Arabidopsis thaliana: one gene and its partners. The protein of the gene in region 1 interacts with the protein of each later gene in a pairwise test. Each region holds a gene or a part of one and is shown in the gene's direction. Other genes may lie near its edges.

Region 1 (9,225 bases):
CTTGGACTACTTAGCTGGATATGGCTGAGGAATGCATGAGGCATGCTATGGATTTGAGTGGTCTGCTGCTGCTTTATTCTTCATTGGGAGATGCAGATGGAATGATGAAGCTGGCAGCACTTGCAAAAGAGCAAGGAAAGAACAATGTCGCTTTTCTTTGCTTGTTCATGTTGGGTCAAGTAGAAGACTGCCTGCATCTGTTGGTGGAAAGGTACATTGTTTACTATTTCTTACATGTGGAACATATATTCCCGCAACTAATTACGTCTATGCTGATATTAATATGGTTACAGTAATCGAATACCTGAAGCCGCTCTGATGGCGAGATCGTACCTTCCAAGCAAGGTCTCCGAAATAGTGGCATTGTGGAGAAACGATTTGACCAAGGTTAGTGGTAGACACATCCGATGCACCTTGTGATTGAATTTCAAACCTTGCCTGTTGAGATATCCACAATTTTTCTTCATCCTCTGTCAATCTGGATATAGATAAGTCCAAAGGCTGCTGAATCTCTGGCTGATCCCGAAGAGTATCCCAATCTCTTTGAGGAGTGGCAAGTCGCCCTGTCCCTTGAAAATAGAGCTGCAGAGACGAGGTATCTTTTCGTCGTTGCCGTCATTAGCTTATTCTTAAAAACAGTGCTTATGAGGAAACCTTTTTAATTGAATTGTGGGACTTAAGCCATTTAGAGTCATGTGTCTGTATTACATAGCAAGGTAGCCGTCATGTATTTGCTTATAATTTGAATTTATACCCGTATAAACATAAGCCGAATGTCGATTTCATTTTTTCAGGATCCTCATAAACAAAGTATTTTTGTTGACTTATCTTGCAGGGGCGTCCATCCTCCTGCTGGGGATTATTGTAGTCATGCAGACAGAGATCATACAACTTTAGTGGATGCTTTTAGAATTATGCAAATAGAGGAAGAGGGTCGACTTGAGCAAGGGGATGTTCTCGACGAGGTATGCATGTTTACATTACATGCATTGAAGAGGATTGTCTTTTACCCATGATATCCAATCCAATGGTCTTGGCCATGGTGGACAATGGTAGGATCATTAATTCTACTGTCGCTGCTTCATTTGTTGTGAACAGGTTGGGGAAGAGGGGGAAGATGGAGAGGAAGAGGAGGAGGAGGATCGTCAGGAAGAGAGTAGTGATGGGAGACAGCAGAATGTGGAAGAAGAGGCTGTTGTGGTGGACGCTGACTCTACGGATGGTGCTGTGCTAGTTAATGGTAACGAGTCTGAAGAACAGTGGGGTAAGATTAGTGAAGGAACCGCATCAGCCTTATAGCATTTGTGGTTATCAATTGATTATAAGATGTCGCTGCACCAAAATATCCTTTTGCCATCTGCACATATATCATAGGATTTGCGTTTGCATCTGTCCATCAATGTTTCCTCATCTGTCTGCCTCCCATCTTCGTCTTACTGATCATCTTACTTTTGATGTTGACTGTCTTTTAAATAGTGCTTCTCTATGCCATTAACTTTTTTATCAATCCGTGGACTGATTAAATATTTGTTTGTTGTACAGTTCTAACACCGCCACAAGAGTAGGGTTGGTGAAGAGTGAAGACATACACAGATAGATATTTTCTTGGCTTTGAAACTTGATACATTCAGCAGAGAAATGAGGCAGCACAGAGAGAGATTAGTTTCCATTGTTAAAAAACTGATCTATTGATAGCTTCCGCTTTGTGCTTTTAATACAGATACATATTAAAAAAAAAGGGGGTTTTGGGACTCTTATGTAGCTTTAACTTATGAGAGATTTCACCTGTAGAATATCTGTTTTGAACTGAGATTTCACCCATATAATATGTTTTGACTTTCGATTCAATAGGTTATGTAGTTGATATCTTTTTTTTTTTTGCAAAACTCAATAGCAGTAGCAAAAAACTTAATTGGAAATAATCAAAGTGAAGGGATAAGTTGGGAAAGAGCCAGAGGATAACGCATGGTGCATTATTATTAGTATTGTGGAGGAGACGCATCTCGAAACATCTCTCAAAGCAAACAAGGACCCAAAACAAAGTTCCTTGCATTCTTCCACTGTCCGTAATCACCATCACCATATCATTATTCTTCTACCCATTTTGTCTTGGAAATGATTTTAAATTTTCTTGTTGCTTCTTACTGCAAACTGTGTATAGGTTCAACTACTCCATTGAGTTACACACTTGCATGCACCTATGGAAGTTAATTTTCCGGTTTTGATTGATATTCAAGTTGTTGACCAATGGAGTTATATACCCTTGATTTATATAGAAACCACATGTTTTATTTATATTAACATGGTCACTTTTGTCAGGATTAATAGACAACAATAGTTGAGAGAAAAAGTGATAAGGTAGAGCTAATTTGTATTAAACTTATCAATTAGTATTGTTGGTTAAAAAAAAGTTAATAAAGTAGTCAAGTTGGATAATTCCCAAAAACTGGGAAAAAAGAACTCAAGCGTCAAATGTTGTAGGTGCATCATCATCAGTCTACAAGTAGTAAAAAACCCATTCGATTTGATAAGAAGACCCAACGGAAAGAGTCTTCCCGTCTACAAAGTAAACCCAATCAATCTTAATAATCTTTAAGAGGTTTTTTCTTATTATAATTATCTATCTCTCTATCTATCTATCTGCGGATCTCTCATGAAGAAACACTGAGGAGATTCTCTCGCTCTGATCTCCTGGTATCGTCGTCTCTCTCCGTAGAGATATACTAGTTTGTCCCATATCCGATTGATTGCTCTATTCAATTTATTCCTCTTCTAGGTTTTCGGTTTGGCCCTCCGATTTAGAGGGATTGATGGCCCCTGATGGCGTTGAAGACTCCGACTATGAGAGTGATCCCGACGAGTTGAACCGCTCCTTGGCTACACGGAGGAGAGAAGCCAGCGATGATGATGAGGATGATGAAGAAGCGGACGACCATGATAAGCTGCGAGCAGCAATCCAGATTCATTCCGATGAACACAGTGGTGTTGTTGTTGTCGACTCTGATGATAATGAAGGATTGCACATAGAAGATAGTTATGGTGATGATGACGACGAAGAGGAAGATGGTGATTATGGACAAGTTGATGACCATGTCGAATACATTGCGGATAATAATGACAAGACAATTGTCGCCGGCAATGGGACCGATGACTCTGCCGCCACTGATCTTGTGGATGGAGAGGAACAAAAGAAGAAGGAACCTTTTGCAGTGCCTACTGCTGGAGCTTTCTATATGCATGATGACAGATTTCAGGAATTGGATGCCGCCTCTAATAGGTAAACTCTTTTTGATTCTATGAGGAGGTAGTGTTTTGTCCAAACTATGCAAATGTATCTATCTACTATTGAGGTAGAGTACATTGATAGGTGAAATTAGCAAACGACTTTCCGTCATTCAATCTCATGATGTACTTCAGAGTTCAGATAGATTGGAACAACTGCTTTGGTTTTATGTTTTAACTTTGATTGTGAATCTTTATGTATGAATCTACCCGAGATGCCATCACACTGCTATTTTTCCATTTAACATTCTGTTTAGTTACATGGTAATGCCAACCGATATAGGTTTTCGTTTTTTATTTCTGTAGGCGAATGCGTGGTGGTAGGAGGCTCTGGCAATCCAGAGATGAAAGAAAGTGGGGACATGACAAATTCGAGGAAATGAATACACAGAAACAGCAATATGATGTACTTTTCTCTGATCATCTCTCTTTCTCTTTCTCTCCTTTTCATAAATATATTTGTATTCATCGACTTGTTTCCTCTTGCTGTGTTTATACATTTGCCACCTCTTTTTTCTTTTTCCTTTTTTTTTTCCTTTTGAAAGCTGATTAATTAAACTTGTGAACATAGAGGAGGACTTCGAGAGGCCGAGGCAGAGGTCGTGGTCAGGGTAGGGGTCAGGACCGTGGACAGTCTCGGGGGAACAATTCTAAAGAATTTACTGGCAATGGACACCAAAATCAGTTTCCGAAGGCTGTCACGAGAGGGAGGGGGGCCAGAAGATATGAGGTTGCATTGAGAAATGGGAATCAAGCACCTTCTGTGCAAACCAAACAGTGAGTCCTTAATTTTGTTTCCTCTCTAGTCAACACATGAAGGCTCTAGGTCTCTAATTGTTGTGTCTTTTTACGGAATCTTTAGGTCCCAAAATTCGTCTGTGGAAGTGTCACACGTTGATTTAGGGCGTCCACCAACAGAAACAGCTACCTTAGAGACTGAAGCCATCCAAGCCAAAAAGAATGTATTTGCTTCAAGTTTAAATTCAGCTTCTCCTCCATTTTATCCTTCAAGATCCAACAATAACTTGGCACAAAAGGATGTACAAGCTGGCATGGGTAGGCTGCACATTAATGAAAACCCTAATCCGACTGGAAAGAAGTTTGGGAATACAAAATCCAGCTCCTTGTGGGGACGCACTGCTCAGACTACAAGTCATGGTAGAGGTGTACCTCCTCATGGGCAAGTGCTTTACCAGCAATCTCCTAATCAAGGTGACAAAGTTTCTTCGCCGATGCAAATCCGTGGAATGCCTAAAGGCACTGACCAGAGCTGTACTCAACTTCCTGGTCAGGTTTTTAATCAACATTCGGCTGTTATCAGTTTGCTGCCTTCTTCTCCTCCAAAAACCGGATCATCAGAAAATCCGTATCTTTCTGGTGAAATAGAGTCAGCCGTAGAAACAGGTGCTTTGGTTGCCAAGGGAAAAGGGTCTCTCCAACCTAGTGGAAGGGGATCTTTTATGTATGGAGGGACACAGTTTATGGGCCCTGCCGGGATGGCAGCTGGTCACGGCAATCCAAATTTCCCTGCTTTTCTACCTGGTAAGTTGTTCTTGAATGTCATTGTTCATCCTACATTGTAATGGTTGAAAGACATCTTTCAGAATCAATCTATGCATGCTAGTGAAATTGAGAGCTATTGATGCTGAGCCGCTTGGCCTGGTTGCCCATGTCTAGGGCCGCTTGAGAACGGCACCTTTTTGTACAGGTGCTAATATGCACGCCTGACTAGTTTAAACTTGTTTGTTTTCATTTTCATGTTCAGTTATGCAATTCGGTGGTCAGCATGGTGGGGTTCCAACTTTTGGAATGGCTCTTCCAGGTTATTTCCAACCAGAACATGGTACCGGAAATCCTGAGATGACATGGTATGCAGTTCCACAGCTATGTTTTAAAAGTTATATATTTGGTGCATTCTTAGTTGACTTGCTGCATGCTTTTGTAATTTGAGAGGATGTTTAATCTTGTAACTAGTCTTTTACTAGCCCAAACAGAACCTGAATTATTGCTTTCACTCGTCTGCTGTTTGTTTTTTGTTTGATTTCCCTATTTCTCTATCTATAGTAGGTCCTTATTACTGCTATTATTTTCTTAAATTATTGACAGGCTGCCAATTTTGGCTGGCCCTGGAGCATTAGGGGGTTCATATTGTCCACCTTATACTGTCCTTGATGGTTCTTACCAAGCAGACAAACCAGGGTTACCTTCCTCTGCCGGATCGTCCAGGTTTAGAAATAATTTTCTCAGTATTGTTAATCAACATGTCATTTCCATATGCATATGTGTAGACTCTTTGCTTTTTACCTTAGAGGAAGAGTAGTATGGGAATGCAGCTTTAAGCCCTTAACTAAGTAACGTATGTGAGATTTTAGATTTGTGGTTCCTCTTATTCTAGACCCACTGCAAAATGCTTGTTACCTGTTAGATTTACATTTCTTAAGTGCTTAGATTAGTAGTTTCTCGACTATGTACACCCAGAAACATGTAGTTTTCATTAAACAGACTCACTTTCTTGGTTGGGCACTCATGTAACCATGTCAATCATCTCTGATTATGAGCGTCTAGTAAAGCATATAATTTGAGCTCAAGTACCCAATTACCTTATATTTTTGATTTTTTGTTGCAGCCAAGAGAACAGTTCCAATAATCCTAATGATGAAGAGCCCATGGAGAGACCTGGTAAGTAATAACTCTTGCCAATTAAATGGGGTTGTTATAATGGATTCAGAAGATTTTGTTGTGTTTTGGCGAATAAGAAATTTGAATGATTACATGGAGAGACTGATTCGTATGGGGGTTTATTGATGTAGAGGTTACGAACAATGGGAATTCTCAACGGTCAAATAGCAACCCAAACAAGCAGCCTCGTAGGTGAGTTTTGAAGCAATCTAGTTTATTTATCGGTCAGTGTTAGTGTGACGTGAAACCACCTTGAAATCAAAGTACCACAGGAGTAGTTGGATACAGATATTTGTGGAAATGAAATGTTAATATTGGTCCAGGATGAAATGAAACACTAACGAGCACATGTTGACGAGGGATGTGCAGATACTCGGAGATGAGCTTTAGCAAGTGAGTAAAGAAGAGTGGAAAGGAAGAAGGTCATCTAATTTGACTAAGTGGAGTGAAAGGAGGAGGGTGAGAGAGAAGAGCTCCTTAGGAGCAGCAGGCCCTTGGTGCTTCTCCAACTGCTTTATGAAGCCGTTTGGGCTGCTATTATTGTTACCTATTTTTATTAGGTACGCAATTTCTCTCAAGATACCAATTGAAGAGAGGTTTTAACCACATTATAATTTGAACTTGTGTTTGCTGTTTTGTTTTCAGGAGGTTGTTGTGCAATTGAAAAGAATTTTTGTTTTGTTTTCGTTGTTATGAGAGCTTGAGCTTGAGCCGTGGGCGTCCTTCATCTGTAATTTATTCTTTTGTCCGTTTGGGTTCAAATTGATATTTTGTAATGTTGATATGTGTTATTCTGTTTTCGTTTGTCAACTTCTTTATCAAAAGTTGTGTGCCCTATTCGTACGCCTGCGAAGTCCCCCCAAGAATTGCCCATGTTGAGTTTTGATGGTAGTTAGTTGTCTATGTTTTATATTTTACGCAAGGGGATAGTGGTGGTGCTCAGTCAAATTTACCCGATTCGTGAGAAATGAGTCATTGAGGAATTGTTACCATATATATAAAGACATGCCTCCGCTCTGGTTATTTAGTTATGCGACAAAAACAAAACAGACCGCATAGAATAGATGCAACAAACCAAGTGTATAGAAACTTTATTCCTTGGCGCAGCAAAAAAAAAAAAAGGGATAGAGTCTCCGTTGATTCAGGTAGCTCAGCGTCCTCTGAGATGAAACGATTGTTGTTGTTTGTTTGTTGATTTTAGTTTTTAGTTTAGTGGAAGATGATCGGTAATAGCGTCTACATCTCACCGTCACCGTCACCGTCCGACCACTCTCTCTCGCCCAACCCTAATCTCTGCATCTCGGCGGTTGGTTTCTACTGTCTTCCTTTCTCTCTCTCTATTTACTACAAATTTTGATTTCAATTTGGGTTTCCGATTTCGATTTCAATTTTGAATTTGATGGTCTTCAGATGGAAGAGCAGCTGGTTGTTGATGATGATGATGATGACCTTGCTCCTCCTCCAATCCCTGATCTCGATATTGACCTTGAAGATGATGATGACGCCTGTTGTCACGGCTTGCTTCATATCGCACCTAATCACGAAGAAGAAACTGGATGCGACGAAAACGCTTTTGCTAATGAAAAGTGTTTGATGGCTCCTCCTCCTACTCCTGGAATGGAGTTCGAGTCCTACGATGATGCTTACAGTTTCTACAACTCATACGCCCGTGAGCTCGGTTTTGCTATCCGCGTCAAGTCCTCCTGGACTAAGCGTAACAGCAAGGAGAAACGTGGTGCTGTCTTGTGTTGCAACTGCCAAGGTTTCAAGCTGCTTAAAGATGCTCACTCCCGGAGAAAGGAGACCCGCACCGGCTGCCAGGCCATGATTCGCCTTCGACTCATCCACTTTGATCGATGGAAAGTTGATCAAGTCAAACTCGACCACAACCACTCCTTTGATCCTCAACGTGCCCACAATTCCAAGTCTCACAAGAAATCCTCCTCCTCAGCTTCTCCTGCAACTAAGACAAATCCCGAACCACCTCCCCATGTCCAAGTCCGGACTATCAAATTGTATCGAACCCTTGCCCTTGACACACCACCCGCTCTTGGAACTTCACTCTCTAGCGGGGAGACCAGCGATCTCAGCCTTGATCACTTCCAATCTTCAAGGCGCTTGGAGCTCAGAGGGGGTTTCAGGGCCTTGCAGGATTTCTTCTTCCAAATTCAGCTTTCCAGCCCCAACTTTCTTTACCTCATGGACCTTGCCGACGACGGGAGTCTCAGGAATGTCTTTTGGATTGACGCTCGAGCTAGGGCTGCATACTCTCACTTTGGCGACGTTCTTCTGTTCGACACCACTTGTTTATCTAACGCATACGAGCTTCCCCTTGTGGCCTTTGTTGGAATTAACCACCATGGAGATACAATCTTGCTCGGCTGTGGTTTGCTTGCTGATCAGAGCTTTGAGACCTATGTCTGGCTCTTCAGAGCGTGGCTAACCTGCATGTTAGGCCGTCCCCCACAGATCTTTATCACGGAACAGTGCAAGGCAATGCGGACCGCTGTCTCTGAAGTTTTTCCAAGGGCTCATCATCGTCTTAGCTTGACCCACGTCCTGCACAACATCTGTCAGAGTGTTGTCCAACTACAAGATTCTGACTTGTTCCCTATGGCACTTAACAGAGTAGTCTACGGTTGTCTCAAGGTCGAAGAATTTGAAACAGCTTGGGAAGAGATGATCATTCGCTTTGGGATGACAAATAACGAGACCATCAGGGACATGTTTCAAGATCGAGAACTCTGGGCTCCAGTTTACCTCAAGGATACATTTTTGGCCGGGGCGCTGACTTTTCCACTGGGAAATGTGGCAGCCCCGTTCATCTTCAGTGGCTATGTTCATGAGAACACATCCCTGAGAGAATTCCTTGAAGGGTACGAATCTTTTCTGGATAAAAAGTACACAAGAGAAGCCTTGTGCGACTCAGAGTCCTTAAAGTTGATCCCCAAGCTCAAAACAACGCACCCCTACGAGTCCCAGATGGCAAAGGTCTTCACAATGGAGATATTTAGAAGGTTCCAAGACGAGGTCTCAGCAATGTCTTCATGTTTTGGAGTAACGCAAGTCCACTCAAACGGGTCGGCCTCCTCGTACGTAGTGAAAGAGAGGGAGGGAGACAAAGTGAGAGACTTTGAGGTCATCTACGAGACAAGTGCAGCAGCACAAGTACGTTGCTTCTGTGTCTGTGGGGGTTTCAGCTTCAATGGGTACCAATGCAGACACGTGCTCCTCCTACTCAGCCACAACGGCTTGCAGGAAGTC
Region 2 (7,981 bases), on another chromosome or scaffold:
TAGTAATATTTGTTTCGGATTAGAAATCCTGTTTATATCCCCTATAATACTAATCTGACTTTAACTGAACCAGGTCGGTTCAGTCTGCAAAGTTTTTGACACTACAACATCTCTATTTGTTATTGAGATCACCATTGATTTTGTAAGAAAGGAGATATATAATTCCACTCTTATTTCGAATCATAGTTTAGAGGTCGTGATGACAAGGATGTTCAAATAATTGTTATTTCTGAATTTATAGAAAGTAACTAAAAATTTCAAATTTTTGGTTAATTAACAAGAGTTAAAGAGAATAAGGTACAATGATATTTGTACTTAAGAAAATATTAGCATATAGAATAATACACCATCACTTGAATTGAAAGAACTTTGAGGAAAATATGAAATATATATGAATTGGATATCCAAAATTTTAGGATATGCATGTCGGAGGGTCTGTCCGAAAATTTGATGTGTGGCATTAGATGCCAATTGGTTGCTTGAAACTATATATTATAAAAAAAATTATAAAAGAAAAGACAAGAGTAACAAACTTTTAAAATGCGATATCATACAAAATAAGTGAGTTCATTACTTATACAGTGATGAAAAACTGATTTTATTTGATAAGATTTTAAAATTAACTTGATCTTTTTCATCATAATTTTCTCAGAATTAATATACACATGTAACACAGAGTTACAGATATTGACCTCACTGGAACAACTAATAGTAGAATATTAGAAATAAGAAACATTTTTTGTAGGATCACTCTTACTGGAGTATAATTTATTGATTGAATGCGATGTTCCGATTAATTTTAGAAATTTAATTGGTCAATGGTATAATTGATAGTAATTAGAATATATATATTTATTTCAGCTTTTTTATCTATACGTCTAGACTATAATATCGTTGCAAGCAGGTTCTAACGTCATGTGTAGATCCTTTAAGCAGTTCTTGTAGCATCACTTGCATTTTCACGATCACGTAGCCTTATTGCTTAGTTCAATTTTTATTTTCTTTGACTGTGCCTTTAGAAAGGTCTGAGGGTGATCCTACAAAAAACTAGATAACTCGATATATAAGACCACATGTCAGAAACTTGGAAGGGTTTAGTGATTAGACGACTAAAACATCATAAGCTATCCAATTAGGAAAATTAAGTACTAATAAGAGGACGAGATTCTCACATCTCAAATACACTTTACATATGTAAAGCTTATTTTTGCTTCATTAGTTTTTAGAGATTAATGTTCTAGAAATGTTATTATATGAAAGCATAGAGCAACTAAACAATTACAACTTCTAAATGCTCTCTTATTTGCCTTGAATATAAATTTGATTGGGTAGAAAAAATCTTGTATCATCAAATCAAATTGATATATCCGCCCCGAATTTGTTTTAATATGCATATATCTAATAATTAATTTGTATTACATATGTGCATCAAATATTAAACAGAAGCATTTTAGAGAATTAATTTTATCAGGTCCACAATTAGTTCATCGGTTTTCAATGAAACCTAGATACGAAAAGAAATTTTGATAAGACTTTGAATTGCAAAAACTCTTTAAAAAAGTTTAAAATATTTCTAAGTAAGAAGAATCTTCTACCTTCCTGGCCACTTCACTAAAGTCCGGTGGGAAGATTCTGCGACTCTCAAACTTCTGTCAATATTATTTACTTAAGTGAATATCTGTCCTAGTTTATGGTAATAAATTAAATCAGATATTCCCTTTCTTTCTCTTTTTTGCATCCACTAAAATTTAGAATAATTATTCAACTTTTTTAAGAAATTCAATTTACAAAAAAATATTGATCAATCGTTATCTCTGTCTCTCTCTCTCGCCGTCGTGCAACTATAAATATAAAAATCTTGTGGCCTAATATGTGCTTCTTTGATTTATATTGAATCTCAATTCCTTTTGAAAATTTAAAATAATTAACTATATAAATTAAGAAGGTGGTAGAAGAATATTTGTTTTTCTGGCAACGACTATAAATTTCCCAAAATGTACTAAAACGTTCACAATTTATTCCTTTCACATAATTGCGTTGGTGATTCCATAATTTTATTTTAACTTTGTCGAATATATAAGATAATTAAGAACCAAATACCTGAAATGTTAGCTTAGATCTATTTTTCAGTCAACATGAGCTAAGATTTATAGGAGAATTAGGAAACATATTTTATCTTAAGAATTATGAGACTGAATTTACGAAAGTATAAGCTATGTGAAGTGGTGAACCAACAAAAGCAGAATCTGAGATTAAAAACAATATATCGCTTTATTAGAAATAATTTAAAAGTTTGTATTCTTACCCATTTGTTCTTTATAACAAGTTTCCATATATTCCCTTTTGCTCTGCTGCTTTATATCTTCCTCTTTTCTCCTTTAGCCTCTCTTTTCTCTTTCTTTCATATGGAATTATACATAGATTAATTTTCTGAAGAAGTGATTAAAAACTAAGCATTATAAGAGAAGATAAAAAAACAAATCAAATGGTTACTAATTTAATGATTTTACTAATATTTACCAAGCCATAGTTTTTTATATATTAACTATTTTGTTTAAGATTCATGAAGCCATATATGGTAGCATCAAAAGCCTTGATTATAAGCTTTTTGAGAAATGAGAGTCACACATGATACACCTTTAGTAATATTGACTCATTAGAAAATAAAAATAATTTATCTTTGTTATATTTTCTCAAATTTTGCTCAAACACAAGCAGCACTTGATGTAAAACAGTTTTTTTCCGAATAATTTTACATAATATTAAAAAAAATAAAAAAATATTGACTCATTAGAGAAGAGGAACGACTTCTAACAGTAAGAAGCCTCTCACTCTCTCTCTCTAAAAAATACACCTCCTTAGTCTCTCCCTCTCTCGATAGATATATGTGTGTGTGTGTGTGTGGTGACAGATCACATTATTCCGTTCCTTTGAATTGAGCCCTCTAAAAAGGACAGGAACCTCCTTGTGATCCTCCTTGTGTCCACAACCTAACATTTTATTCCCCTTTTCCTCTATCTTCTTCTTCATTCGCTCTTCCTCTCCAAACCCTAATTTCCAAAAACCCTGAAAATCTTTGAAATATTTCTGAAGAACCATATAGCATATACATATATCATCTGAAACTTGAAGGCACCACAAATTCTTCTTGATTCCTTGATCATCTATATTATATTTATATAATCAATAAATATTCTTCCTATACAGCGAGAGAGAGAGAGTATATAAGCTATAAATATGGCGTCCTCATCAGAACTAAGCTTGGATTGCAAGCCACAAAGCTACTCTATGCTTTTGAAATCCTTTGGAGATAACTTTCAGAGCGATCCAACCACACATAAGCTTGAAGATCTTCTCTCTCGCCTAGAACAAGAACGTCTCAAGATCGATGCCTTCAAACGCGAGCTTCCCCTTTGCATGCAACTCCTTAACAATGGTACATATATCCATTTACAATATTTAGATCTACGTATATATACTTGTGTATAATATGATCTTCAAATAATCCCTTTATTACCAAAAAAAACCTAGTGAACCATTAGTTTTTTGAATTTCTTTTCACTTTTTTTTTTTTGAAAAGATCTTTATTCATTAATTTAAGAATTTATTTCATAAAAATCAGAGCTTGCTTTTGATTTCTTTGAATCACAAAACTTTTGTTTCCTCCCAACACTGAAATCAACAAAACTAACTAAAGTGATTTTAAAGGTTATAAGGTTCATGTTATATCTGTTACTTTCATATTTTAAATTACTTTACCATCTTTAATTAGTTTGATTTTTTTTTCCAGCTGTGGAAGTTTACAAACAACAACTAGAAGCATATAGAGCAAATAGTAATAACAATAACCAAAGTGTTGGTACAAGACCAGTTCTCGAAGAGTTCATACCCTTAAGGAACCAACCCGAAAAGACAAACAACAAAGGAAGTAATTGGATGACGACTGCTCAGCTATGGAGCCAATCCGAAACCAAACCAAAAAACATTGATTCAACTACTGATCAATCTCTTCCCAAAGACGAGATTAATAGTAGTCCGAAACTCGGACATTTTGATGCAAAACAAAGAAATGGCAGCGGTGCTTTTCTTCCCTTCTCTAAGGAACAATCTTTGCCTGAATTAGCTCTATCCACGGAGGTCAAGAGGGTCTCTCCGACCAACGAACATACTAATGGCCAAGACGGTAATGATGAGAGCATGATCAACAATGATAATAACTATAATAATAATAATAATAACAATTCGAACAGCAATGGAGTTTCTTCTACAACGAGTCAAAGTAATAGAAAGGCACGACGTTGCTGGTCGCCGGACTTGCACCGGAGATTTGTCCAAGCTCTTCAAATGCTTGGTGGCTCGCAAGGTACAGATACACTTATTCTAATCAACTAAGTATTAATTTGAAGTAGCTTTACCATGGTTAATCTAAAAAAATTGTCAACTAATTAAAACGATTTTTTTAGTAGACATGATATTTGAGTCACCAAATACATACATCATTATCGTATACTGCATATTTTATACATGGCTAGTATTATCATTTGTGGTTTATTCGATATTTAGGTAATAATGAATATGGTATGGCAAATTGCCATGATTTCCATTTTGCTATTTTTATTTTTTTCAAAAGGCATATTATAAAGTTTTAGTTGGCGTTTTCTATAGTTTTTTCGGTTGATAAAAAACAGTACATAAAGTGAAATTGAATATACGATAGATCAACTTGAATCAACAAAAAAAAATGAGAGATCAACTTAAGTACTTAACAATTATTCAAATATATGTAGTTAGTTTCCAAATAAATTCTAATTCTAATTCTATTTTTTTCCGGTTTAGATATGGATTTAGTTTATTAAATATAGATTAAAATAACCTTGTTAACCTAATAAAAAGTGTTTAATTTTTGAATCGAACTTGTATCCGTATTTATATGTTGGTTATATCATTGCAGTGGCTACACCTAAACAAATAAGGGAACTCATGAAAGTTGATGGTTTGACCAATGATGAAGTCAAAAGCCATCTCCAGGTAACTTAAATCACAAGTCACCACAATATGCTTTACAACTTTTTTTAACTCATATTTAAGTACTTTACTGGTGTGTTGATTTTAAACAAACAGAAGTATCGGCTTCACACTAGAAGACCAAGCCCAAGCCCACAAACGTCAGGTGGGCCAGGTCCACATTTGGTGGTCCTAGGTGGCATATGGGTTCCACCGGAGTACACCTCCGCACATGGTGGCACTCCGACTCTCTACCACCACCAAGTCCACCACCACCATACCAACACGGCAGGGCCGCCTCCACCACACTTTTGCTCCTCTCAAGAATTCTACACAACTCCACCGCCTCCTCAGCCGCTCCACCACCACCACTTTCAAACGTTTAACGGTTCATCCGGTGGCACCGCCTCTACCGATTCTACTCATCATCAGGTGACGGACAGTCCCACAGTTGAAGGGAAGTCACCGGAGAGTGGTGGTGGAGAGAGAAAAGGGTTGGCTGCTCTTAGGGAAGAATGTGAAGATCACAGCAATATTAATGGAAGTGAAATAACTCTCAAATTCTAAAAAAAATAAAGATTCTTGATTAATTAATTAGAGTAATGAGATTTTAGGGTTAGGGTTTGTGGGTGCCTACGTAACTTATTTCATTGCTTGTATCTCTCTATATATTTTCTCAGTAGAAAATGAATCACAGGAGGCAGCGAATGTTTTTATCGAACATTATGAATATCATATCATCACTTAGAAAATTCATTTTGATCATGTTACTCTTATCGTTAGATAAAAACATGTATTCAAACTGGTAATCTCAAAGGGACTATCGTGTCTGTGTTTACTTTAGTTGGTTGATTATATGAATGGATAATGTGGATTGATCATATGAACTTGTGTAGGCGTTAACTATGTGTAAATTGATTAATTCATATGGCCTTTGTTTGTGTTATCAATGATATATATGAAAATTGTAGTGATGTTAAACATTTGAGCAGCTAAATGCTATATGTAAATTAATGATTTAATCGTTGTTTCCATTGTATATATATTTAGGTTCGATCATAACACAAGTCAAAATGACTTGCCGTTTAAAATTAAGACCATCATTAAAATTAGATTGTTGGAATCTCTTTGGTATTGCGGCAAATTTTCTAGTAATTGGCAATGTATAGTCTTCTTCGGTTTTAACTATCTACTATTTGTCCACAAATATTGCATTAAACGCCACAACAAATCTGAATATTTGATTGGCCGGTATGATGCATCTTCATGTGCTAGATATGGAGTGGTGGTCCTTGGAATTTTGCTCTAAAAGTCAGCGATATTCTTTATTTTCATTACATAAACTAGTCGACGCACCACTTCTGCATTTAGTTTTTCATAATCATATTATATACTCTAATATTTGCAACCTAAGAAAAAACCATTTGATGGAAAAAAATTAGGAAAAAAGAATGTCAAAAATTTGGAAGGTGTTAGAATCATTTTTGTTATGAGACAGTATTTAGGTTGGTGTAAATCTTGGTTTGAAACTTGATTGGTACATCTCCAAACATGTTTTAGTTTAGTCAGAATAATTTTAAATGAAGAATGATAATTGATAAAAGATATATTTTCTAGAAAAGGCCACAAAGAAATCGAAACTTTATTCGCTATTTCTTCTTCTTTTAAGTTAACAAAATAAGAATATTCTCATTCAATATCGGTGGCTAATTCAGCTTACAAAAGAATTTTGACCTTTCACATCTCTTGAAAACACTTTCATAAACAAGTCCATTTCAAATTTTCATTTGTAAACTAATATAAATTATATGTGACAAACTGACCAACTAATCTAAAATTAGTAATTTAGAAATTAAGCGTTGCAAAGCATGAAAAGTTAAACGACGATCAAATCGAGACAACAGAATCTGCAGAAGAAACCATCAAAACCAATGTTGGGTTAAGTTTTGACCTGACCCTTGGGTTAATAATTACCGTTTTTAAGTATAAAATAAAAGACACCACTACCTACGAAAAAATAATTATGAATTAACTGATACAAATAGAAAGTTTTTAATTACCAAACTTCGAATGTATCGTGCACCAACCACAAAGGACTAGAGGACCAGGTCAGCATTAACTCATAGGTTATGCAAAAATTTCTATAATTTGTCAATTCCCAACTTTCATTTTCCTTCGTACATTATCAGATGAACACTAAAACATATTGATTTGCTTTTATTGAGTCTACTACCATTATGGTCTCACGATGAAATCACGACTATTAATTGGTTCTGCTTTTATTTTGACTAAGAATAATTAAATTGTACCAAACGATAAATGAAATAATTACAATTTTTAGCAACAAAAAAGAAAAAGAAAAAAACAAATGTTGAGACCATATACATTTTTGGAGTTTGGACACTGAGATTTTCAGATTCTTGTCTGTGGTTAAACCTCGGAACCAGAGAGAGATGGTATGGTCTTTATCACTCTCTTTTATTAATAAACTCATATCTCTCTCATCTAAAATCTCATCTCTTCTTCTTCTTCTTCTTCTTCTTCTTCTTCTTCTTCTTCTCCTCTGTCTTTGAAGCTATCTTCTTGGATTGTGTTTAGGAGTTAAAAACTTGCTTTGGTCCATCATGAGATTGCTTCTTAGTCTCTTGTTTCTCTTGGCTTTAACCACCTACTCAAGTAAGCTTTTTGTTCAAAATGATTCTCTGTTCTTGAGGTTTCAAACAAAACCAACTCTCTCTCACTTTCTCTGTTTCTAGGTGCAACTTATTGTCTATGTAGAGATGGTGTTGGAGAGAAAGATCTTCAAACATCGATAGATTATGCATGTGGAGTTTTAAAAGATTGTAATCCTATTCATGAGAAAGGTCCTTGTTATCAACCAAACACCATCAAGAGTCATTGTGATTGGGCGGTTAATACTTATTTCCAAAGATTTGGTCAAATCTCTGGAAGCTGTAATTTCTCAGGAACTGCTACT
Region 3 (6,870 bases), on another chromosome or scaffold:
ACCTAGAGGAGGAGGCACTGGTATTTTCAGAAACAGCCAATTCAGATGACACTCACCACCATTTATTGCCTCATTACTTGTATTAATATTGTAATTTTAATTCATCGGCATTGTTGATGAGAATCTGGTTGTCACTCTCTTTGTTTGAAGTTTATATTGTTGAATAAAAATGAACTTTTAACCTTATTAAATTTTGCTCGGAGTCATTGTCCAAAAATACCAAGTTGGTTAAGAGTCCACAAGACCACAAGTAAAGTTTTCGTCAACTTTGTTTGACCAATGACCACACGGATAAATTGGTAACAAAAGGAATTGTGGGTCCAAATTATAATAAACTGAAAATGGATGGTGTAAAATGTAATTTATCTACAAAATTAAACTTTAGGATAAACATTGGATTTTTGCAGGAATCGCCGGAGGGAGAAGCAATGGTGACGATTCTATCAACTCCTCTCTCTCCAAGACTTACATTTCTCTGTGAGTTCTTCCCTCTATCTCTCAAAACTCTTATTGATCTTACGATTCAGTAAGCTGGTTCCATAAGACTAGTTAAGTGACCAAAACTGTTCCATAAAATCTTATAGGTGAAACAAAACTGTCATTATCTCGGAGCAATCGCTCGGTATGTTGTTCATTGAGTGAAGAACCAAAAGACCAATGGTAAAATTTGCAATCTTGAGAGATAATTTTTTTTCCTTTTTTTGGTTTGATTCTGGAGATAAAGCTTGGTCTTTTAATTGCAGCTTGAGTCGGAGAAGTCTTGTTTATGTTTTAGTTGCTTCGCCGTGTTTGTTGTTACCAGCGTTGTCTTCATCTGCGAAGACTAAATCAAAGAGTCCTTATGATGAGAGACGGTTACTAGAACAGAACAAGAGGATACAGAGAGAGAACAATGCTCCTGACGAGTTTCCTAACTTTGTTAGAGAAGGTTTAAGCTTTTATTCACTGTTTCTTTGAGTATTATTCATTCTTGAGTGGAAGAAGAATATGAGAACTTATTGTCCTTTTGTTTGTGTTTATGTTTTTGCTGATATAGTGCAGGTTTTGAGGTTAAGGTATTAGCTTCTGATAATTACATCAAGGCTGATTCTGGCCTCATATATCGGGATTTCAATGTTGGTCAAGGTGATTTCCCAAAAGATGGTCAGCAGGTACTACTTCCTCTATGTTAGATTAGTTAAACTTAGGATCTGAAGTTAGATCATTTATGGAATTGGTATGCTCTTTACTTGGATATATAGAATTGAAGATATCATTGAGTTTTATGGTTATTTTGACAGGTGACTTTTCACTACATTGGCTACAATGAGTCTGGAAGGCGAATAGATAGTACTTACATACAAGGTTCTCCTGCTAGAATCCGCATGGGAACCAATGCACTTGTTCCAGGCAAGTAGAAGACATTAACTTGGCTCTTTAGTAGTAGGATGTTAATGAAGAATCTTCTTTGACAGGAAACACATATTGAAGATTTTTAATACTATATGGATAATGATGATGCAGGATTTGAAATGGGAATTCGTGACATGAAGCCCGGTGGGCGAAGAAGGATTATAATCCCTCCAGAATTGGGACCTCCGGTTAGTGTTCTTACTTGTTCCTTACAAGTATACACTTGTCTGAACTGTAAACCTGACTAGTGGTAAACTTTTGCTGAGCCATTCCGTTGAATATACCATCCCTCTATCAACAATGTTTCAAATGGAATTACTAGCTTGAGCATGCTCGTTTAGGGACATATCTAAACCAATGTAGATTAGACTTGTACTGTGTAAAAACTGTCTTCACTTTGGTTCGATCATATTTTTGACAAAACAAAGTTCATTGGGCTCTAACCAGGTGGGACCTTCGACCTTCTTCAGCTCGAAGCAATTTGAAGTTTTCGACGTGGAGTTGCTCAGTATCCAGAATTGTGAGAGGAGGACTATAATAGGTTTCTACTCAGATGTCACATGCAGTTAACTTCCAAATGATGGTCATCACTAAGCTTCAATGAACCTGCATTCTTCAATCTTCAATACTCTAAATCTGCACGGCAGATGAGAACTACAAAGAAACAAAAAGAACAATTATTCTTTGCTTAGGCATTTATCTTGTGGGTTTCATGTAGAGATGCACAATTACATAGAGAGACAGATAAAGATCATGTAAAGTCTCGACCTTTTTCATAATCGTAGTTTACTTTTGTTGCTTTGTTGATCACGTTTTAAGCGTTTGGAGCTTTTTGATATCTTCTGTCTCTCTGTATCTGTGCGTTTGTCAAGTTAAAGCAATGCATTGTTTCGTTAGTTTTATAATTTCTACCCCAAATTTTGGCACTCTTTATGAAACACCCCAAACAAATAATAAATTGTACAAAGATACATTGAAATTTGGAACGGTAGATGTGCAATGCTCATCACATTTGGAAAGTTAATTACGAAATTTTCATCTAAAGACGTTAAGACATTTTATGTGTGGAAACTATAATTTGCAAGTAAAGCAACTAAAACGATAAAAAGGGTAAATGAGTAATTGCGACGTATCCACTAAACCCTTAGTCTCAGCTAGAAGGTTCGGTTTGAGTTTTCTTTATCCCCAAAAAACCCTAAACTCTTCTTCTCGCCGACTTCTCTACTCCTTTCCAGAAACCAAGTTTCAGGTCATCGGTGAAATTTGTTGTGTTCCCGGCGACTTCTACTTTTCACCTTTCTTCTCGGCGTCGTCTAATTTCTAGGGTTCCCCTGTATTTCACGTGAGAATCTTTGGCTTCTTTTTTTCTTTCGTTTCGTCTGTTCGAATGCATAGTTAGGTTTAGACTTGAGAATGTTGCATTGTTGGATTAGATTCATACTTCAGATTAGGGTTTCAGTTTCAATTCGTTAAGTTGATGAGCTCGAGTAGCTTAAGATCATCTTTAAGCTCTCTTAATTCTAAACAGTTTTGTGACTGAAATTGCAGCGTCAAGAGCAAATCCAACATGTCGTCGCTGCGTAATGCTATTCCACGGCCTGCTCATAAGGAGCGATCTCAACCGTAAGCTATTATTGCTCTCAGGTGTCCTTTTTGTTCTTTTCTTCGTTTCTCTTCTTAAAGTTTGGATTTTTAAACGTATCATCAGGGAAGCGAGGAAGAGGTTTGGCATCCTCGAGAAGCATAAGGATTATATTATCCGAGCTAATGCTTATCACAAAAAGCAGGAAACTTTAAAGGTAACTATTACACTCTCTGTTTTCAATTCCATCTCTCCTATGATTATACTGTCGAGATTATGTTAATAAAGTCTTTCAAGTAGACATTTGTTAGTTTACGGGATTGATTGATGATATCTGTGAGATAGCTAAGAAACTAAATCGTTGGGAGTTCAGTTTCTCTTACACCGTTTTACTTTACTGCAGATACTTAGGCAGAAGGCTGCATTCAAGAATCCAGATGAATTCAACTTTAAGATGATTAATAGTAAAACAGTTGATGGACGTCATAGACCAAAGTAAGCATATCGAAACTCTTCGTTTTCTTCTTTTTGCTTTTCACTATTATCTCTTTTGCTATTCTCATGGTTTCTCGTTTTCTTCTTGGTTTGTAAATTTTGACAAAGTTATTGTTTTCAGAGATGAGGTAAATAAATACTCTGCGGAAGAGCTTATGATTATGAAGACTCAAGATATTGGATATGTGTTCCAAAAATGGCAGAGTGAGAAAAACGTAAGTTATCTTTCCTCATACACACCCCAAGAGCTTTCTGCTTACGATCATATTTATCCAGTTTTTCTCTTTGTTCCTTCTTATCTTTTGTAGAAAATTGACAAGCTGACTGCATCGCTGCAATGTACTGGGGATCAGTCAAGCCGTAGACATGTTTACTATGCAGAAGACAGGTTAATCCCAACTTTTAGTCCTTTCTTTACTTGGTGTAGCTTTCGTGATTTTCTCATTCATTTTGAATGTGTCATATGGACACTGCAAAATTTGATCCTCCTTACCTTAACATTTAAAAGACATTACCGGTACCACATTGTTTGTGTTTTCTTATAATCTTCTTTTTTAACTCTGTTGTTCCTTTATCAGAGAGGAGGCTAGAGAACTGGAGGTACAAGGTAGAAGCAAAAGTGATATCTCTACAGTAGAGATTCCGAAAGATATTAAAAAGTATGTATCTGAAATGAATTAGATGTTTTCAAAGGTATCAAACGGACAATCAATAGTCATTGTATTCTATTTTCTTAAAACAGGAAAATGGATAGGTCCTATAGAGACCTCGAGGGGCGGAAGAGCAGGGCTAAAGATTTGGAGAAGTTATACACGGATATGTCAATGCAGAAGGAGTTACAGGTTATCATCAGTCCCCCGAACACATTACTGTTTCTTGGTATGCAACTAGACCATCTCTGATTAAACTCTTTTAATGGACAGAAAAAGGGTCGCAAACGGAAGCTGCGTGATGACGAGCTGCTCAATCCAAATGGTAAAGCGGTATACAAATGGCGCGCCGATAGAAAACGCTGAAGAGAAAAGCTTTCATGGTTGTGTAGCTTGACATCATTTTTCTGATCTCTATTAAAGTTTATATAGCAGGCAGTTTTATTATAGTTTTTTTGATCTCCAGAACCTGCAGAACTTTACATACAATTTTGGATGGGACAATATCTGTTTACTTTAAGCTCTTTGTTGCGTATCTGGAAAAGTTTTACTAATGTGATTGACGAAATATAAACACATGAATCCAAAATAGAAGATTGAAGACTTCAAAATTTTACCACTAAGATAAAGTTCGGTATACACAAAAAGACTGTTTGTAAATAGCAAATAATGGGCCCTTTTCTTTCTGATTGGCTTTTACCAAAAATACGCAAATCTTACTCAGCTTTTAAATTTTGGTTTTTGTTTAAGTTTTAGATTTTGTTACTTAAAAGACTCAAAAAATATTGGTTCAGCCTTTTTAATTTATTATTTATTTACTCTTATGTAAAGAGAGAAAGAAAACAAAAAGCAATGGGACTTTAAATGATTTGGTACAATTGCTGTTTTAGTACAAGTTTAAATTTGGAATCAAATCCTAACTTATAAAGAAAAACAGCCATCTTTGGCATATAACACAAATGCACTGGCTTATGATATTTGCTATTTCTACTAAAAAACAATTAGTCTTAAATAATTTCAGAAAACATTATAAAGTCATTTTAATTAAAGGCATAAGACACAAATGTTACCCCTATGTTTATGATATGCGTTATTAGTTCCAATTTTTCAGAAACCTATTAATTGTCTATATAAAATAAACTTATAATTAATTATGTTTAGCCAAAAGATTTAAAGTATATAACATTTTAAAATTATTGATAAAAAATAAAATGACTAACTAAAAGAAAGAAAGATATGATACACCACTTTTCTGTATCTCAATATAAACACGCTAAATTTTACGGATTATCCGTTAAATTTGTTATATTTTCAACTATAATTCAAATAAATTTTAATATAATATACATATAAATGTGCAAAAATTCTGTTAATACTAATCAAGTAGTTTTCATAACAAGTCATCGTGAATTATTTACATACTAATATATCACAAGAAAAACGTTTATCGTAATTTAGAACACTGGTTAGAACAATAATTATTTATCAAATTGTTTTTTAAAAAATGACAAAAATAAAAGTTAGGATTTAAAAAAGAGAAGAAAAGAGGAATGGTAATTGGGTAATATATAATGTACCGTGCAAAGGAGGTGATTGAAGCTCTTTGTTACAATTACAATGCCTATATGAGCTGTGGTTTCAACATCCGCCCTTCTCGTCTCTCTCTCTTTACCTTCATTGCCCAATTCCTCTAATTCTTCCTCCTTTCTCTGTCTCTCGGAATCAGGGAAGATAAAGTTCTTCCTTTTTTCTCCAAAGGTGATTACTTTAAGCTCTTTTGCCCTTTTTTTTTTCGTGTCACAACAGTTTCTCTGTGGGCTCGTCTGAATTCTCTCCGACCATCATCACTCTTTCAATTGTTATTTCCAATGGAGTTTGTCTGAATTGAATTTGCATAGTAAAGGTCAGAGATTTGTTTAAGTCTCTCCTCGCTTTTCTGTTCGAGGGTTTTTCTTCTCAGAATCCGGCGAGAGCATTCCTCAGTTCTTTCTGTTTGTTGAATTTGATTTCTCTTTTATCTGCTATGGGATTTTAGTTTTGGAGCCATTGAGTATCTAAATTTTCCAAATTGGGGACTTGTTTGATCTTATTGTTTCTTCTTGTTCTGCAGGTTTGGATTTTCTTCTAGGTGGAGTAGGATCTGCGTTTATTTTATCATTATGGTCTTTATAAACAGAGTGCTTTAATTTTGGTAGCTGCAAGGGATTGATTACTCGTTAGAGTGTGTATTTATATCTGATCAAGATATGAGTCGTAGGGTGAGGCAGAGAGTGGAGGATAATGGAAAGTATAAGGTTGATTCACCAAGTTATACTGTGATTGGAGTTGAGGATTTAGCACCTAAGGTTCAACAGTATGTGAATTGGACTAGTTTGCCTTATGACACAGTGTTTCATTTGTTTACTCGATTGAATTATCGCGATAGAGCTAGCTTAGCCTCGACCTGTAGGACATGGAGAAGCCTTGGTGCTTCTTCTTTTTTGTGGAGTTCATTGGATCTTCGAGCCCACAAATTTGATCTTTCAATGGCAGCTTCTCTTGCAACTAGGTGTGTTGATCTTCAGAAGATTAGGTTTCGTGGTGTTGACTCTGCTGATGCCATAATTCATCTCAAAGCAAGGAGTCTGCTTGAAATTAGCGGCGACTATTGTAGGAAGATTACAGATGCTACATTGTCTATGATTGCGGCACGCCATGAAGCTCTTGAGAGCCTCCAACTTGGACCAGATTTCTGTGAGAGGATCACTAGTG
Region 4 (6,357 bases), on another chromosome or scaffold:
ATTCGGTTAATTTACATACTTTTAAAATTTACTGTAGAACAGTAAAACGGCTCGGTTAATTTGCATAGGCCTAGAGTTTACTGTAGAACAGCTGACTCTTTCATGACAGTACAAAACGGTTAATCATATTATCACGTAAATATGTTTTTGTTTTTACCCAATGATTAAAAAGTCAGTTATATTTTAAAAACCCTAGAAGGTGAAATAATTAAATGTAAGTGGCTAAATGCGGTGGAATCAGAGCCGTCGATCTCAAAAAACAACACGGCTTAAGCACGTAAATGGGCCCCACGTTTCGGCCACTTCCCCAAGACCCATTGTTTCAGCCTTAAACCCATTAACTCACTTCTCTCTCTCTCTCTCCGCCTCCTTTTAAGACCAAATCTCTCTCTACCTCTATCTCTCTCTCCGCCATTACCAGAGCTCAACGAGCTCTCACTTTCTTTACGCACACTTGTTGGAACGAAATATATTCATAGAGAAGAAGAATCTCGAAACTCTTGAATCTAAAACAACTCGGAGACTCTGTTTTCCCTTTCCGGAGATCAGATCGGATCAAGATGCAGACAACCAACGGCTCAGATTCGACGTTGGCAACTTCCGGAGCCACACCGCCGAATCAACAAACCCCTCCTCCACCTCAGCAGTGGCAGCAGCAGCAACAGCAACAGCAACAGTGGATGGCTGCCATGCAATATCCACCAGCGGCGGCGATGATGATGATGCAGCAGCAACAGATGCTGATGTATCCTCATCAATATGTTCCGTATAATCAAGGTCCTTATCAGCAGCATCATCCTCAGCTTCACCAATACGGGTCTTATCAACAGCACCAGCACCAGCAACACAAGGCTATTGACCGTGGATCTGGAGATGATGTCAAGACTCTTTGGGTTGGTGATCTTCTTCATTGGATGGATGAGACTTATCTCCATTCTTGCTTTTCTCACACCGGCGAGGTATTATCTTGTTCATTGGTACTCTGTTTTGGATTTAGATTGTTACTTGTAAATATGGTTAAAAATTCATCCTTTTTGCAAATCATTGACATGTTCTTGTGTTTTGATTCATTGTTAAACCAAGTAGCTATTTTAAAAAACTAGTTAGTTGGATTAGATTAGATCCAATGGATATAGAAACAAATAGGGTAATGGAGAACAACTTTGACCTGAAAAGGACAGGACAAGTTCATATTTCGTTAGGCAAAAAGTACTCTTGTACCTTGCCACGTTTAGTTAAAACTTTTCTGGTATGAAAGAGAATGATTGCATAAGATTTTCACTTTTCATGAATAAACTTATATCCAGTTATACATGTGTTCTGTTTTGTTCTTTCTCTGAAGTTTCTTGTTTTTTTTTGTGATGAGCAGGTTTCTTCTGTGAAAGTTATACGTAACAAGCTCACTTCTCAATCAGAAGGGTATGGGTTTGTTGAGTTTCTTTCACGTGCTGCAGCTGAAGAAGTTCTTCAGAACTATAGTGGTTCAGTGATGCCAAACTCGGACCAACCCTTCCGTATAAACTGGGCATCTTTTAGTACTGGTGAAAAAAGAGCAGTGGAAAATGGTCCAGACCTATCTGTTTTTGTGGGAGACTTGTCTCCAGATGTCACTGACGTTTTATTGCATGAGACCTTTTCTGATAGATATCCTTCTGTCAAAAGCGCCAAAGTTGTGATTGATTCCAACACCGGCCGGTCCAAAGGTTATGGTTTTGTGAGGTTCGGTGATGAAAATGAGAGGTCAAGGGCTTTGACAGAAATGAATGGAGCTTACTGTTCGAACAGGCAAATGCGTGTAGGTATTGCAACTCCCAAAAGAGCGATTGCTAATCAGCAACAACATTCTTCACAAGGTTTCTTTTCATACTTCTCTCTGCAACTAGTTTTACCCTCTGATTCTTTCTATTTAAGTGTACTAGTTTTAAGCGAGAGGTGAGCCAGTTTTAATCCATAGGACTCTAGAGCTAACAACTTGTTGCATTCAACAAAGTTTTTGAACTATAAAGATTTTATGTTTTCATTGGAATAGCTGTGATTCTGGCTGGTGGACATGGATCAAATGGTTCCATGGGTTATGGCTCGCAGTCTGATGGCGAATCAACTAACGCAACAGTGAGTTGTCATATTTAGTTATATGTCAGCATCATTCAAGCTCTATATGTTCTTGCTGCTCATCTTAGGTTATTCTACTGCAGATATTTGTTGGCGGCATTGACCCTGATGTTATTGATGAAGACCTCAGACAACCTTTTTCCCAGTTTGGAGAGGTTGTTTCAGTGAAGATCCCAGTAGGGAAAGGATGTGGATTTGTCCAATTTGCTGACAGGTGCTGTCTTCATCTAGTTAGTAGTGTTGGCTTGGCAATCATATGATTGAGCAACCTGTAGGTGCTTATCTCATAGCGAGTAATTCAAAGCGACTTGCCTTTGGTTTTGACAGGAAGAGTGCTGAAGATGCTATCGAGAGTTTGAACGGGACAGTCATCGGCAAGAACACTGTCAGACTCTCCTGGGGACGAAGCCCAAACAAGCAGGTAAAATTTCACTTTGGAGTTGATGCATTCTATCAGTAGAAGAGTAAATTGAGTATTTTGCTAGGGTCAAACTTTGTGAATAGTTGTTTGTTTTGTTATTAAAAGTAAAGTCAGTGGTTGACAATAATAGCTGGTGGAATCTAGCACCTTCCCTTCGTTTTCTATTTTGACTTATGCAAGTGGGAGAATATCTAATACATGTCTCCATGTCCAACTTGTGTCACCAACCCTGAACATGGTCTTATGTCGACATGTTTTGGTCTAGGACTTAACCAAATTGGTTCTGCTGGCAATAGATTTCTTTTTAGTTCTCATAATGTGTTCAACTTGTGGCAGTGGAGAGGAGACTCAGGGCAGCAGTGGAATGGAGGATACTCACGAGGACATGGTTACAACAATGGAGGAGGATATGCTAACCACCACGACTCCAACAACTATCATGGGGAGAATTGAAGAGACTCATCAAGTGATCATCTTCATCATGGTTTCACATATCAAAGCTAAAACCTGTAGTCGAAAGAAGAATTTTGTTAGATGGATTTGATTTTGATAGACTTGTTGTTTGGAGGAGATTCAAAAATTTTGGTTACTGGTTTGTCTCAGACTAATATAAATGGTTGCAACTTGTTGGATCAAAATTCCGCTTACCTTCTACGAATTGCTTATAAGCCCAAAACTTTCTGAAATTAAACAAACAACCCCAAAACTTTAAAATTATATTTATTAACTCACATTAATTTTAAATTTTTAGCTATTAGCCCTTTCTCTCTCACTTCTTCAGTTTTTCTTCTACTCTCAACCTCTCCGGAGAGAAAAAAATCGGAGAGTGAAGATGGAAGAAGCTTTCATGGCGATGCTCTCACATCTTCTCCATCTCCAAAACTCATTAGATCCTACAAGCACTCTCTTCTCTTCCGCATCCACATCTTCACAGTCTTCAACCACACCTTCCTCCCTCCTCTCCACTTCCTCCGCCGCGCCTTTACTCTTCTTCACTCTCGCATCTCTCCTCTCCTTCCTCGCCGTCAACAGATCTTCAACCGAATCCTCATCTTCCTCAGAATCACCTTCCCCTTCCCCTCCTCCGCCTCTTGCCGACGGCGATTACTCCGTCGCTGCCTTCCGTGCCCTAACCACAGACCACATCTGGTCACTCGATGCGCCTCTCCGCGACGCTCGTTGGCGCTCATTGTACGGTCTTTCCTACCCAGTCTTCATCACCGTCGTCGACAAGCTCAAACCATTCATCACCGCTTCAAATCTCTCTCTCCCCGCCGATTACGCCGTCGCTATGGTCCTCTCTCGTCTCGCTCATGGCTGCTCAGCTAAAACCCTAGCTTCTCGCTACTCACTAGATCCATACCTCATCTCCAAGATCACAAACATGGTCACACGTCTCTTAGCCACCAAGCTATATCCAGAATTCATCAAAATCCCCGTCGGAAAACGGAGATTGATCGAAACGACTCAGGGATTCGAAGAACTCACCTCTCTCCCCAACATTTGCGGCGCCATTGATAGTACTCCGGTGAAGCTCAGACGCCGCACGAAACTAAACCCTAGAAACATTTACGGTTGCAAGTACGGATACGACGCCGTTTTGCTTCAGGTTGTTGCTGATCACAAGAAGATCTTTTGGGACGTTTGTGTGAAAGCTCCAGGTGGAGAAGACGACTCTTCTCATTTCAGAGATAGTCTTCTATATAAGAGGCTTACTTCAGGAGACATTGTTTGGGAGAAAGTTATCAATATTAGAGGTCACCATGTGAGACCATACATTGTTGGAGATTGGTGTTATCCTCTTCTCTCATTCCTGATGACTCCATTTTCACCAAATGGCTCTGGTACGCCACCGGAGAATCTATTCGATGGAATGTTGATGAAAGGAAGGTCAGTGGTGGTGGAAGCTATTGGATTGCTCAAGGCTAGATGGAAGATTCTTCAGAGTTTGAATGTTGGTGTGAACCATGCTCCTCAGACTATTGTGGCTTGTTGTGTGTTGCATAATCTTTGTCAGATTGCTAGAGAACCTGAACCGGAGATTTGGAAGGATCCAGATGAAGCTGGAACGCCTGCAAGAGTTTTGGAGAGTGAGAGGCAGTTTTACTATTACGGGGAGAGTTTGAGGCAAGCATTGGCAGAAGATTTACACCAGAGACTCTCCTCGAGGTAAAAGACATGAACAGATCTTGGTCAAAAAATGGAGCTTTCTATCTTTGTTATCATGTAAGAAGCAGATGCTTTCAAGTGTTTAGAACTTTAGATAGCATTGTAGATTCAATCCTCTTGAGAAGAAAGTTTGAGGATTCAGAAATGTTAAAAAGCTGACTTTGTTGCCTAGCCATCCCAACTGTCAGTTTTGTAACTTAGGAATGGGTTTATGGTTTGTTCTGTAACACCTTTTGAGAATGAAATGTATGACTTCTATTGATATGGATTATGGAATCTTGAGAAGCAAGTTTTTCCGAATTTGAAATATTAATAGCTCTCTGTTACTGTAAGTTTTGTGACTTAGGAATGGGTTTTTATGATTTGCTTTGTGGCACATTGTGAATGGAATCTGAATCTTTTTCCTGGAAAAAATGGAGACAGCCAAATGAAAAGAGAAAGGGATGTTCTTAATATCTGTCTTCCATGATTTGGAAGAACACGACTGTGGATTATCATCTTATTATACAACTCTCCAGGCCTGTCGGATTTTTCTGGATACTCTCTTTCTTTGTCGGAACTTAGCATTCTTTTTCTAACACTATAAACATAGGAATGGGTCCTGAAAAAAATTCCAATTCCCAACCCCAATCCACCCATTTGCTTCTTGCAGTTGTATGTTCTTCCTCTTTCGAATCCGTTATAACACCGAGTCACTTTCCTCATCGCGTTTTCGCTAAAGATTGTCGAGTCGAGACACCGTGCAGCAGTTTGACAAAACCCAAGAAACTCAGCTTCCCGTCAGTATGTCTTATCCAGTCATTTAGAATGGTATGAACCGGGATGGATGATCCAACACCAAGTTCCTACAAAACATTTATGTTCCCTTCGTTTAGGAATTAGCTGAATAAATTGTTAAGCATGACAGAAGCAAGTGTCGAATTTCTTATAAACTTACAGAAGCGAGTTCTTCGATGACGATAACTCGGTTTCCATTCATTTCAAATAGCTCATAAGCATGACGAATGCTCTGCTCCCAACAATCAAGAGACTCATGCTGATGAACGCTAATGGAAGCTGCACAAAACTCTTCAAAATCCATCCCTTTGTATTGAAGTCCATTTAACTGTCATTTCCCAACACCAAACTTTCGTTAACCAACCTTGGATTGTATCTTAAACAGATTAAGCAAAAGGACAAGAACAGAAAGGAGACAATACCAATGCAAGAAAGTCCGGGATCCGTGATTCCTTCATTGCTTCTGTTGCATTTGTCGCAAGTGCCTGTCCAACAGAAATAAATCTAGCTTTGAGCTGTTTGCTTTCTACCAGAGAGAGACAGAGAGGAAGAGAAGGCACATACCAGTCTGATGCTATCTAAAGTGATGAGGCCATTTTTGTTGGGTGCTAAGTGTGCAAACTGCGCTTTCAGATAAAGAAGTTCATCGGTAGTTAATGTCTTGGACAGAGCCTGGAGAGAATAAAAGAGTTAGCAAACTAGATACAAAGGTAATAAATATCAAACACATCCTTAAATGTTGTTTGGAAACAGTAAAAAAGGTTAGAAGCAAAATGTACCATCAAAGCAGCTTTGCGCAAAGACGAAGATCTCAAGTATGCTTTGATCTGCTTGAAGATCAGAATATCAAATGGGATATCTATTTTCTTATAACCCGC

The links.
Region 2: the proteins of AT1G80000 (region 1) and AT2G03500 interact in a two-hybrid assay, tested with the Arabidopsis thaliana proteins (one large-scale study listed by BioGRID).
Region 3: the proteins of AT1G80000 (region 1) and EDA14 interact in a two-hybrid assay, tested with the Arabidopsis thaliana proteins (one large-scale study listed by BioGRID).
Region 4: the proteins of AT1G80000 (region 1) and AT3G19120 interact in a two-hybrid assay, tested with the Arabidopsis thaliana proteins (one large-scale study listed by BioGRID).

What each region holds. Positions count from the first base shown.
Region 1 is NC_003070.9:30,090,385-30,099,609, forward strand, and holds AT1G80000 (CASC3/Barentsz eIF4AIII binding protein), read left to right. Parts: upstream 1-2,422; 5' UTR 2,423-2,810; coding exon 2,811-3,277; intron 3,278-3,588; coding exon 3,589-3,688; intron 3,689-3,853; coding exon 3,854-4,059; intron 4,060-4,144; coding exon 4,145-4,824; intron 4,825-5,047; coding exon 5,048-5,150; intron 5,151-5,388; coding exon 5,389-5,508; intron 5,509-5,908; coding exon 5,909-5,961; intron 5,962-6,092; coding exon 6,093-6,153; intron 6,154-6,284; coding exon of another isoform or gene 6,285-6,294; exon of another isoform or gene 6,295-6,330; coding exon 6,331-6,358; 3' UTR 6,359-6,521; intron 6,522-6,606; 3' UTR 6,607-6,939; downstream 6,940-9,225. Other genes in the region: AT1G79990 (coatomer subunit beta-2), read left to right, coding at 15-211, 294-387, 489-595, 836-965, 1,099-1,264, 1,543-1,565; FRS8 (FAR1-related sequence 8), read left to right, coding at 7,181-7,267, 7,372-9,225. UniProt on the Arabidopsis thaliana protein: Core component of the splicing-dependent multiprotein exon junction complex (EJC) deposited at splice junctions on mRNAs.
Region 2 is NC_003071.7:1,056,689-1,064,669, forward strand, and holds AT2G03500 (Homeodomain-like superfamily protein), read left to right. Parts: upstream 1-2,856; 5' UTR 2,857-3,237; coding exon 3,238-3,436; intron 3,437-3,790; coding exon 3,791-4,363; intron 4,364-4,951; coding exon 4,952-5,028; intron 5,029-5,121; coding exon 5,122-5,571; 3' UTR 5,572-5,991; downstream 5,992-7,981. Other genes in the region: AT2G03505 (Carbohydrate-binding X8 domain superfamily protein), read left to right, coding at 7,629-7,680, 7,761-7,981. UniProt on the Arabidopsis thaliana protein: Transcription factor acting as a flowering repressor, directly repressing FT expression in a dosage-dependent manner in the leaf vasculature.
Region 3 is NC_003074.8:22,310,092-22,316,961, reverse strand, and holds EDA14 (embryo sac development arrest 14), read left to right. Parts: upstream 1-2,534; 5' UTR 2,535-2,734; intron 2,735-2,940; 5' UTR 2,941-2,959; coding exon 2,960-3,015; intron 3,016-3,100; coding exon 3,101-3,191; intron 3,192-3,377; coding exon 3,378-3,469; intron 3,470-3,590; coding exon 3,591-3,684; intron 3,685-3,777; coding exon 3,778-3,857; intron 3,858-4,047; coding exon 4,048-4,128; intron 4,129-4,211; coding exon 4,212-4,311; intron 4,312-4,392; coding exon 4,393-4,485; 3' UTR 4,486-4,704; downstream 4,705-6,870. Other genes in the region: AT3G60380 (cotton fiber protein), read left to right, coding at 1-49; AT3G60370 (FKBP-like peptidyl-prolyl cis-trans isomerase family protein), read left to right, coding at 342-477, 585-660, 744-928, 1,042-1,151, 1,281-1,389, 1,504-1,580, 1,840-1,962; ARABIDILLO-2, read left to right, coding at 6,366-6,870.
Region 4 is NC_003074.8:6,608,027-6,614,383, reverse strand, and holds AT3G19120 (PIF / Ping-Pong family of plant transposase), read left to right. Parts: upstream 1-3,245; 5' UTR 3,246-3,365; coding exon 3,366-4,706; 3' UTR 4,707-5,034; downstream 5,035-6,357. Other genes in the region: RBP47B (RNA-binding protein 47B), read left to right, coding at 561-959, 1,370-1,853, 2,030-2,112, 2,196-2,326, 2,440-2,533, 2,870-2,986; AT3G19100 (Protein kinase superfamily protein), read right to left, coding at 5,404-5,547, 5,640-5,807, 5,902-5,964, 6,044-6,151, 6,259-6,357.